2 linked regions of the Rattus norvegicus genome follow. The protein of the gene in region 1 binds, or shares a complex with, the protein of each later gene. Links are inferred from orthologs where the notes say so. Each region holds a gene or a part of one and is shown on either strand. Other genes may lie near its edges. The genes, in order: Itgb7 and Itgae.

Region 1 (3,809 bases):
GGTTTTGTTGTGTTAGGCTATCACTCTGCCGCCGAACTACATTCCTTGCTGAGCCACAAGTCTATCACTTTTTATTAGTGTAAAAAATATGTAAGGAGCGCTGGAGAGAAGGCTCAGCGGTTAAGAGCACTGACTGCCCTTCCAGAGGTCCTGAGTTCAATTCCCAGTGACCACATGGTGGCTCACAACCCTCTGTGATGGGATCTGATGCCCTCTTCTGGTGTGTCTGAAGACAGCTACAGTATACCTAAAATAAAATCTTTTTTTAAAAAAAGGATAAAAACACACATGCAGACAAAACATCCATATACATAAAATAACTTAAACATTTAAAAATGTAATATTTATACATACATATAATGTGTTTGGACCAAATCTACCACCCTGTTCTCTCCTCTACAGTTCACCACTAGACATCTACCATTTCCCCCTCTTGACTTCACATGATCTTTTTCTTTTTTGAGTATCCATGACTCCATTTAGTATTACATGTATATAGACGAGTGTATATGTATGTACACGCATGTGCAAACATGTAGGTTTTTTGTTGTTGTTGTGTTGTTTGGTTGGGTTTTTTTGAGACAGGGTTTTTCCATGTAGCCCAGGCTGTCCCGGAACTCACTGTGTAGCCCAGGCTGGCCTTGAACTCAGCGATCTGCCAGCCTCTGCCTCCTGAGCACTGGGCTCAAAGGTGTGTGTGCCCTTACCACTCGGCTGAAAAAATTCTTGTAATTTGTAATCTATTATTTTGTGTTTGTGTGATTGTGTGCGTATGTGCACGTGAGGTAGGCGTACATGAGTACCACAGTGCATATATAAGTCCAGAGTCAAGTTTGTGGAGTCAGTGCTCCCTTTGGACCGTTATGTTAAGGGTTCTGGGGATCTAACTAATTCGGGCTCTGGGCTGACCTGGCAAGTGTGTTTACTTGCTGAGGTGCCTCGCTGGTCAGAGCCTCGCTGGTCAGAGCCTCGCTTTTTATTTGGAGGCGTCGTGTATGTAGCATTGATCTGATTGATCTACCCATACTCTTGCTTGGACCTCAGATTACCATCCTGTGTCACCGGGTCCTGCACCCCACCTGCTTCATAACTATTATCACCCCCATTTTACTGAGGAAATAGAGACAGGAAGCTAAGCATAAAGAATGGGGGACTTGGGGTTGGGGATTTAGCTCAGCGGTAGAGCACTTGCCTAGCAAGCGCAAGGCCCTGGGTTCGGTCCCCAGCTCCGAAAAAAAGAAAAAAAAAAAAAGAATGGGGGACTCAGCGCTCACATTACATTTGTAACAAATCAGGGACAGAATTTTATAGAGCTTGAATGCCTCTTGAGCAGGAGGCTCATTTCTGCTCTAGACTGCAGATCTCTTTTTACTTTTCATTTATTTTATTTAAAGACTTATTTATTCATTATGTATAAGTACACTGTTGCTGTCTTCAGACACACCAGAAGAGGGCATCAGATCTCTCTACAGATGGTTGTGAGCCACCATGTGGTTGCTGGGATTTGAACTCAGGACCTCTAGGAGAGCAGTCAGTGCTCTTAACCACTGAGTCATCTCTCTAGCCCCCTTTTTTTATCTTTTTAATTACAGGGTCTCTCTATGTAGCCCTGGCTGTCCTGGAACTCGTTGTGTAAACCAGGCTGGCCTTGAACTCACAGGGTCCCCTCTCCCCCATTCGGGGAGTCAAGGTGCCTAGCACCTTGCCTGGCTGTACTACATTTAATATCAAGGTCCATATTATTATTATTATTATTATTATTATTATTATTATTATTATTATTTTCGGAGCTGGGGACCGAACCCAGGGCCTTGCGCTTCCTAGGCAAGCACTCTACCACTGAGCTAAATCCCCAACCCCCAAGGACCATATTATTATCTGGATGAGGTGTCACATGCCTGTCACTTCACACCTGGGAGGCAGAGACAGAAGGAATTTCCAAGGCCTTCTTGGGCTACTGGAGACCCTGACATAATAAGCAAGAACAATGTGTCCTTGACCTCAGTGAAACGAGTGGAGATACAGAACTAAGTGGTTGCTTGCCCGGCATACCCAAAGCCAATCTCTTGACCGTGGCAGGAAGTCTTGAGACAGTGCTAGCCTTTGCAGAGTAACCACACCGAAACCGTGTCTGCCCGGTGGATCTTACCCACCATGGCTGTGTGTTCTGGTTTGGGTTTGATTGACAAACACACTGACCGCATGGGCTGTCACACCATGGCCCGGGTAGGTCTAGCCCTTAGGTGTTCCAAGATGGTTCTTCTTTCAGAAATGACTTCTAACTGTGCAGAAGGGACCAGGTGTGACTATGAGGGCACGAAGCGGGGTGCGTCGGGGGAGGGGCTTGCTTTCACACGATGACATCCTCGCTCTCTTTCCACAGAACCTGTCATCCACCGTGACTCTTGAACACTCTTCGCTCCCACCTGGAGTCAGCATCTCTTTCGAGTCTCACTGTAGGAGTCCTGAGAAGAGTGAGGGTGAGGCTGGGGACCGTCGGGGACAGTGCAATCATGTCCGAGTCAACCAGATGGTAAGAGCCAGCCAGCTGCAATAGATATGATTTCCCACTTACCTCCACGGAGGAGAAGTGGGCGTGGAAGTGGGAAACAAGCAGAAGAACCCATGGGATCGCCATTGAGGAGGGGTGCACTTTCACTTGTTCTTAGTTTGCTAAGGGCCAGGATTCTGTGTGGTTGGTGGACTCTGTGTGTGTGTGTGTCTGTGTGTGTGTGTGTGTGTACATGTGGGTGTGTATAGCTTTGTCTGGTCCTCCTGTCTTCAGTGTGTGAGGATGTGTGTGTGTGTGTGTGTACCAGAGGTGGTGTGTGTACAGGAGTGTGTATGTACATGAGGGCGTGTGTGTGCACAGCTTTGTCTGGTCTTCCTGTCTTCAGGTGGATTTCTGGGTCACTCTTCAAGCCTCTCACTGCCTCCCAGAAGCCCATGTCCTACGGCTCTGGGCCCTTGGCTTCTCAGAGGAGTTAACTGTGGAGCTGCACACACTGTGTGACTGCAATTGTAGTGATGCCCAGCCTCGCGCTCCTTACTGCAGCGATGGACAGGGGGACCTTCAATGCGGGATATGCAGGTGAGGGTTTTATAGACTCCTTTAGCTCCCAGCAAGTGGCTATCACCTTTATTTCTCCTTTGCTTTCTGTTCACCTGGAGTCACCTAGATATCCCAGGACTCTACCTGAATGTCATACCCTGAAGCTTCCCATAGATGCTAAGGCTTTCACTTTCACTTTGACCTGAGTCCCCTGCCCCCTTGACCCTTGGTACACTTCTATATCAGTTTGTTTCAGCTGCTCTGTATCCTCCCCCCCCTTTTTTTTTTCTTTTTTTCGGAGCGGGGGACCGAACCCAGGGCCTTGCGGTTGCTAGGCAAGCGCTCTACCACTGAGCTAAATCCCCAACCCCGTATCCTCCCCTTTTTAAAAAAAGATTATTTAAAAAAAAAAAGATTATTTATTTATTTTACACTGTCACTGTCTTCAGACACACCAGAAGAGGGCATCAGATCCCATTACAGATGGTTGTGGGCCACCATGTGGTTGCTGGGAATTGAACTCAGGACCTCTGGATGAGCAGTCAGTGCTCTTAACTGCTGAGCCATCTCTCTAGCCCTCTGTCTCCTTCCTTGAGAACATGGCCTTAGTGCAATGGTTCTCAATCTTCCTAACACTACAACCCTTTAATAGAGTTCATAAAATTATTTTTCACTTCGTAACTATAATTTTGCTACTGTTATGAACTGTAAATATCTGTGCTTTCCCATGGTCTTAGGAGACCCCTATGAAAGGGCC
Region 2 (4,276 bases), on another chromosome or scaffold:
AACGTGTTGTGCGGGGGGGGGGGGGGTGTGAATTGTAATCTCTTTATGAAAAGTTATATAAGATCTAGTCAAATGTCAGACCAAAGCTAACAGTGTGAAAATGTTTAAGTGTCATTGAATCTTCACAGAACTTTGACTAAATAAATTTTCCATGTGAAAAACAAAATAAAATTGATTTTCATGTAGTCATTAAGGCCATGTGGTTATCTGCTTTTGCTAACACTGTAACACTTCAGAATATTCTCTTTTTTTTTTTTTTTTTTTTTTTTGGTTCTTTTTTTCGGAGCTGGGGACCGAACCCAGGGCCTTGTGCTTCCTAGGTAAGCGCTCTACCACTGAGCTAAATCCCCAGCCCCAGAATATTCTCTTACATCCATGGAAGAATAAGAGGTTAATGCCCAGCCTTTCTGAATTAAGATTGCATACAGTCTAGAGTTCAGTTCCCTCTGTGCACTGGCATCATTTTAACGTGTCAGTCACTCACGGCTGATAGCTCCAGTTGGACAGTAGAGTCCAGAACAGTCCATCTTCGCAGAGGTCTTACTACATGACCCAGGCTGGCCTTGAACTTGGTCTTCCCACCATACACTCCTAAATGCTGGGATTGTGCTAGGCTGAGCTGCCCAGAACTCTGCTGGGCTGTGCAGGATGGCCTCCTTCCCTCGCTGCTGCGTAGGCATGTTTGGTGGTTGAGGGAGTTGGATTTAGATATGGCTGCCCCTGTAGTAGTCCCCACAACCTGGGCAGGGTCAGAGCCGTGCTGTAAGGGCCATGAAGTCTACCTCTTCTGTTAGGCTGGAAGCTCAGAGCCCTGCGAAGCTGTTATCAGCCTCACATTTTGAAGACACTTGAACCACAGCTGGATTGAAGCAATGACTTTAATACCTCAGTTCTTCATGCTCACCTGCTCTTCCAGGGCCCTACCTATGCACTGAGTACAGGAGCAAATGTAAGAGTGCATTTTTTGCCTGTCAGAGCACTTTCTATTCGAGGGGACCCAAGATGGCTGGGAGCTGATCCCATGAGTCTGGCTGGGGAACATTCTGGATGAGACAGCCTGGAATTCAACTACCTGGACGACTTGCTCCTGTACCTCCTCTGTATGCCAAAGACACCCAGGACACCCACCAGCCAAATCTTAGCTCACTCGTGCATGAAATGGGGGGTCTAGTGAGTGACGGAACTGGCCTGACAGTTGTCTAAGCTCCCGGAGCCCAGCCCACAGCTATGGGGAAAGCCACCTGCTGGCCTTGTATGAGCTCTGGTAGCTGTGTCTGCTTGAGAGTACCTGTAGGTCTGTGGTCCCTTATCTGAATATGCTTCTGCCCCGCCTCCTGGCCTCCCCTGCAGAGGAAGGGAAGCTGAGGGCCTTCTGAGGTTCTCTGTGTCGCCCCACTCAGCTCACACGGTTGCGTCTGCTCCAGCTATGAAGTGGTTCTTCCATGCCCTTCTCTGCGTGGCCAGTAAGTCAGCCTTTCCTGTCTTCAGTGCTATCATCTCTGTCTGCCTGGGCTCCAGATTAGTGGTCAGAGAAATGCTGGGCTTCCCTTGGGAAGTGCCTTTGCTCAGACAGATCTGGAGGTTTACAGGGAAGACCTCTTCGGTGCTGATGGCCCCTGGCTTCAGTTCTATGCAAAGTTAGTTCCCAGAGTGCGGAAGCTAGTGATGTGCTGTGCCACCCAGAGGGCCCTTTGTTAGTTAACAGAGCAGCTTCAGCTGCTGAAGTCAGGAAGACTGGAGAGAATGTGGAGACTAGCAGGAGATGTGTGTGTGTGTGTGTGTGTGTGTGTGTGTGTGTGTGTGTGTAAATCTACAGACTGAATATCGAGGGGAACCTGCTTCTTCTGTGATGTGGAGGAGGGACAGGTATTGATTGTCCCCTGCTGTCAGAGGATCCCACTCTGTCTTTAACCTTGAGTGGGAACTGCCTTTGGACAAACTGTCCTGAGACCACCATAAGATCCCAGAGACAAGATAGCGTAATCAGCTGAGCCCCCAGGGATCGCTCAGACAGGGCTGTAGTCTGGTCTTGTCTGGCTCTCTCTCTCTCTCTCTCTCTCTCTCTTTCTCTCTCTCTCTCCTCATACTTGGCAAGAGAATAAGGTGGCATCAGACACAGTAATTTGGGGGCCGGAAGCTGTATCTCTGGAAGGCAGTTCATGCCAGTCAGTGAAGGTTTGAAGGAGCAGAGCCACGTCCCAGGAGGAGGATGCAGGATGAGCCAGCCATGAGCCAGAGCATTCGGGAGGCAAGCTAAGCCCTGCTCAGATCACCGACACATGGGTGGGGAAAGTTTTGATGTTTTAAAAAGACCCAGTGGAGCCAGAGAGACGGCTCAGCAGGTTAGGCACTTCCTGCCAAGCCTGAGGACCTGGACTCCATTCCAGAGACCCACATGGTAAAAGAGAGCCTTCTGCCTGCTGCCATCCTCCTCGGCACACACGTGTGTGTGCACGGACACACAAGCTTTGTTTTTTAAGCACTTGATGGTCACCATGGAAGATAAAGTTGGTCGGATGTTTTGCTATGTTGCATTCTAGACTTGTTTTTATTTCTGTTACCTGCAGAGTGGGAAGTGGGGCTTCACCTTTTTTCTTTTTAATCAGAGCTCTAGTGCCCCATCATCAAAGCTGAAGATGCTGAATCTAGAGTAGTCCACTCCAGGATAGACTGAAGGGTGGGATCAAGGAGCAGTAGGGGCAGAACCGTGTCTAGATAGGCCTCTGTCCTTCCTCACAGCTCCAGGATGCTCCATGGCCTGGATAGATGACCCTAGCAGTGGCACTTTGGGCTCCTGCCCATCTTTGTTTCCCGCAACCTCAGCAATGGCATCACCTTGGGCACCTCCCCCACTACCTGCCATTCATCAAACCCCTAAATCTCTGGCACACAAGTTGACAAGAACAGGATGGAGCCAAGCAGTGGTGACGTCGTGCGTCTTTAGCCCCAGCACTCGGAAGGCAGAGGCAGGCGGGTCTCTGAATTCCAAGACAACTTGATCTGTAGAGTGAGTTCCAAGATAGCCAGGGCTACCCAGAGATACAAAGAAATCCTTTCTTGAAAAAACAAACAAACAAACAAACAAACAAACAAAAGCGAGACAGGCAGGTTTGCACTGAGGCCCTGCTGCGGGGTTAGCTATGCTGTGGGATGCAGTGGGAGCTTGGCCTTGGTATGTGATGGGCAAAATGAGATAGCACCGCTCTACACTGTGATGCCTGGGGTTGATGCTACACCAGGCCTCAAGACTGAGGCTGAGTCCTGAGGGCTTTGGGAATTGGAAGCAGGCAAGATGCTACGAAGGAGAATGAGGATGAATACACTCTGAGCACGGGCCCAGGCTCTTTACTCCTGTGCCTTGCTGGCTTCTCTGGGTTGGGGCCAATCCACAACTGTTCCTGACCAGATGGCTCTGCCCTTCTGCCCTTCCAAGCCACCCATTGTGGTAATGATCTTTTCCTGTCACTCATGGGGGCAAATGGACTAAAGGTTGTCTAAGGAAGGTTTGCAGAAAATGCAGATGCATACACATTGAAGTCTAGAGCAGCCTAGGCCCCGGCCCCCAGCCCCTATCCCCAGTATACCCCAATGCCATATGCTCTGCCCCTGAGTTCATTCTGCACTGACTCATTCTGAGGCCACAGTAACTCACTTCCTCCTGTGTCTCAGAGGTAGAGTTTACTTCTCTTGTGAGAAGGGAACTTTGCTATGGATCTGTGAAACCTCATGACTGAAAGAGGAAAGAACCAGAGTCCAGGACCTGCTGTGCTCAGGACACCAACCCCAGCTCCCCAGTGGGAACCACTGGGGAAGTTAGGAGGTGGCTGGCCCGGCTCTGCCTAGGTCTAACCTACAGCTATGTGTAGATTTGAGAGAAAAGCTTGGTCCTCAGAAACAGGGATCCAGGTACCTGAGATAAGCCTAGGAGAATGGTGGTGTCTCAGCAAATAGGCAGACTAGGAAGAGGGGCTTTCAGAAGCAGCAAGGCCTGGGTCTGTGAAGACGATGGGGAAGCAAAGACATCGGAGCAGAAAGCTGCTTACTCTGATGGTGTCCTCCCCGCCCTAGATTAGGAGATGCTGGGCCCCAGCATGATGAGAAAGCAGGCTGTACACACATTCACCTTCCTAGCCCAGGGGAGGTTCATGGAAAGAGCTATAGGACCCAGTGGAACCACACTCAGGTAGAAAGGACACAAGATGTGAGGTGGAGCCTCACATCTCTGACCTCTGGAAAACTGGCTCGTGTGTATGAAGTATGTGTGGTACACATAGGG

The links.
Region 2: the proteins of Itgb7 (region 1) and Itgae are in contact, whole or in part, in a cryo-EM structure (PDB 8ZJF), measured with the Homo sapiens proteins. The link is inferred for Rattus norvegicus from reciprocal best matches to the Homo sapiens genes ITGB7 and ITGAE. Residues at the interface, in NP_000880.1 of Homo sapiens: Val201, Leu202, Pro203, Ser206, Thr207, Val208, Pro209, Ser210, Lys211, Arg213, His214, Cys216, Pro217, Arg219, Leu220, Glu221, Arg222, Leu255, Asp256, Ser257, Pro258, Thr291, Phe292, His293, Thr294, Ala295, Gly296, Asp297, Lys299, Leu300; in NP_002199.3 of Homo sapiens: Phe36, Leu38, Arg91, His92, Arg93, Gly94, Leu111, Arg113, Leu118, Ser119, Ser120, Leu122, Glu196, Glu198, Arg230, Tyr233, Glu234, Phe237, Glu238, Cys239, Asn240, Ser259, Gln260, Val262, Met263, Leu266, Arg300, Leu401, Gln403, Phe406.

The regions. Positions count from the first base shown.
Region 1 is NC_086025.1:135,228,790-135,232,598, reverse strand, and holds part of Itgb7 (integrin beta-7 precursor), read left to right. Parts: intron 1-2,383; coding exon 2,384-2,533; intron 2,534-2,897; coding exon 2,898-3,091; intron 3,092-3,809. UniProt on the Homo sapiens protein: Integrin ITGA4/ITGB7 (alpha-4/beta-7) (Peyer patches-specific homing receptor LPAM-1) is an adhesion molecule that mediates lymphocyte migration and homing to gut-associated lymphoid tissue (GALT).
Region 2 is NC_086028.1:58,201,990-58,206,265, forward strand, and holds the start of Itgae (integrin alpha-E precursor), read left to right. Parts: upstream 1-1,378; 5' UTR 1,379-1,426; coding exon 1,427-1,463; intron 1,464-4,276. UniProt on the Homo sapiens protein: Integrin alpha-E/beta-7 is a receptor for E-cadherin. It mediates adhesion of intra-epithelial T-lymphocytes to epithelial cell monolayers.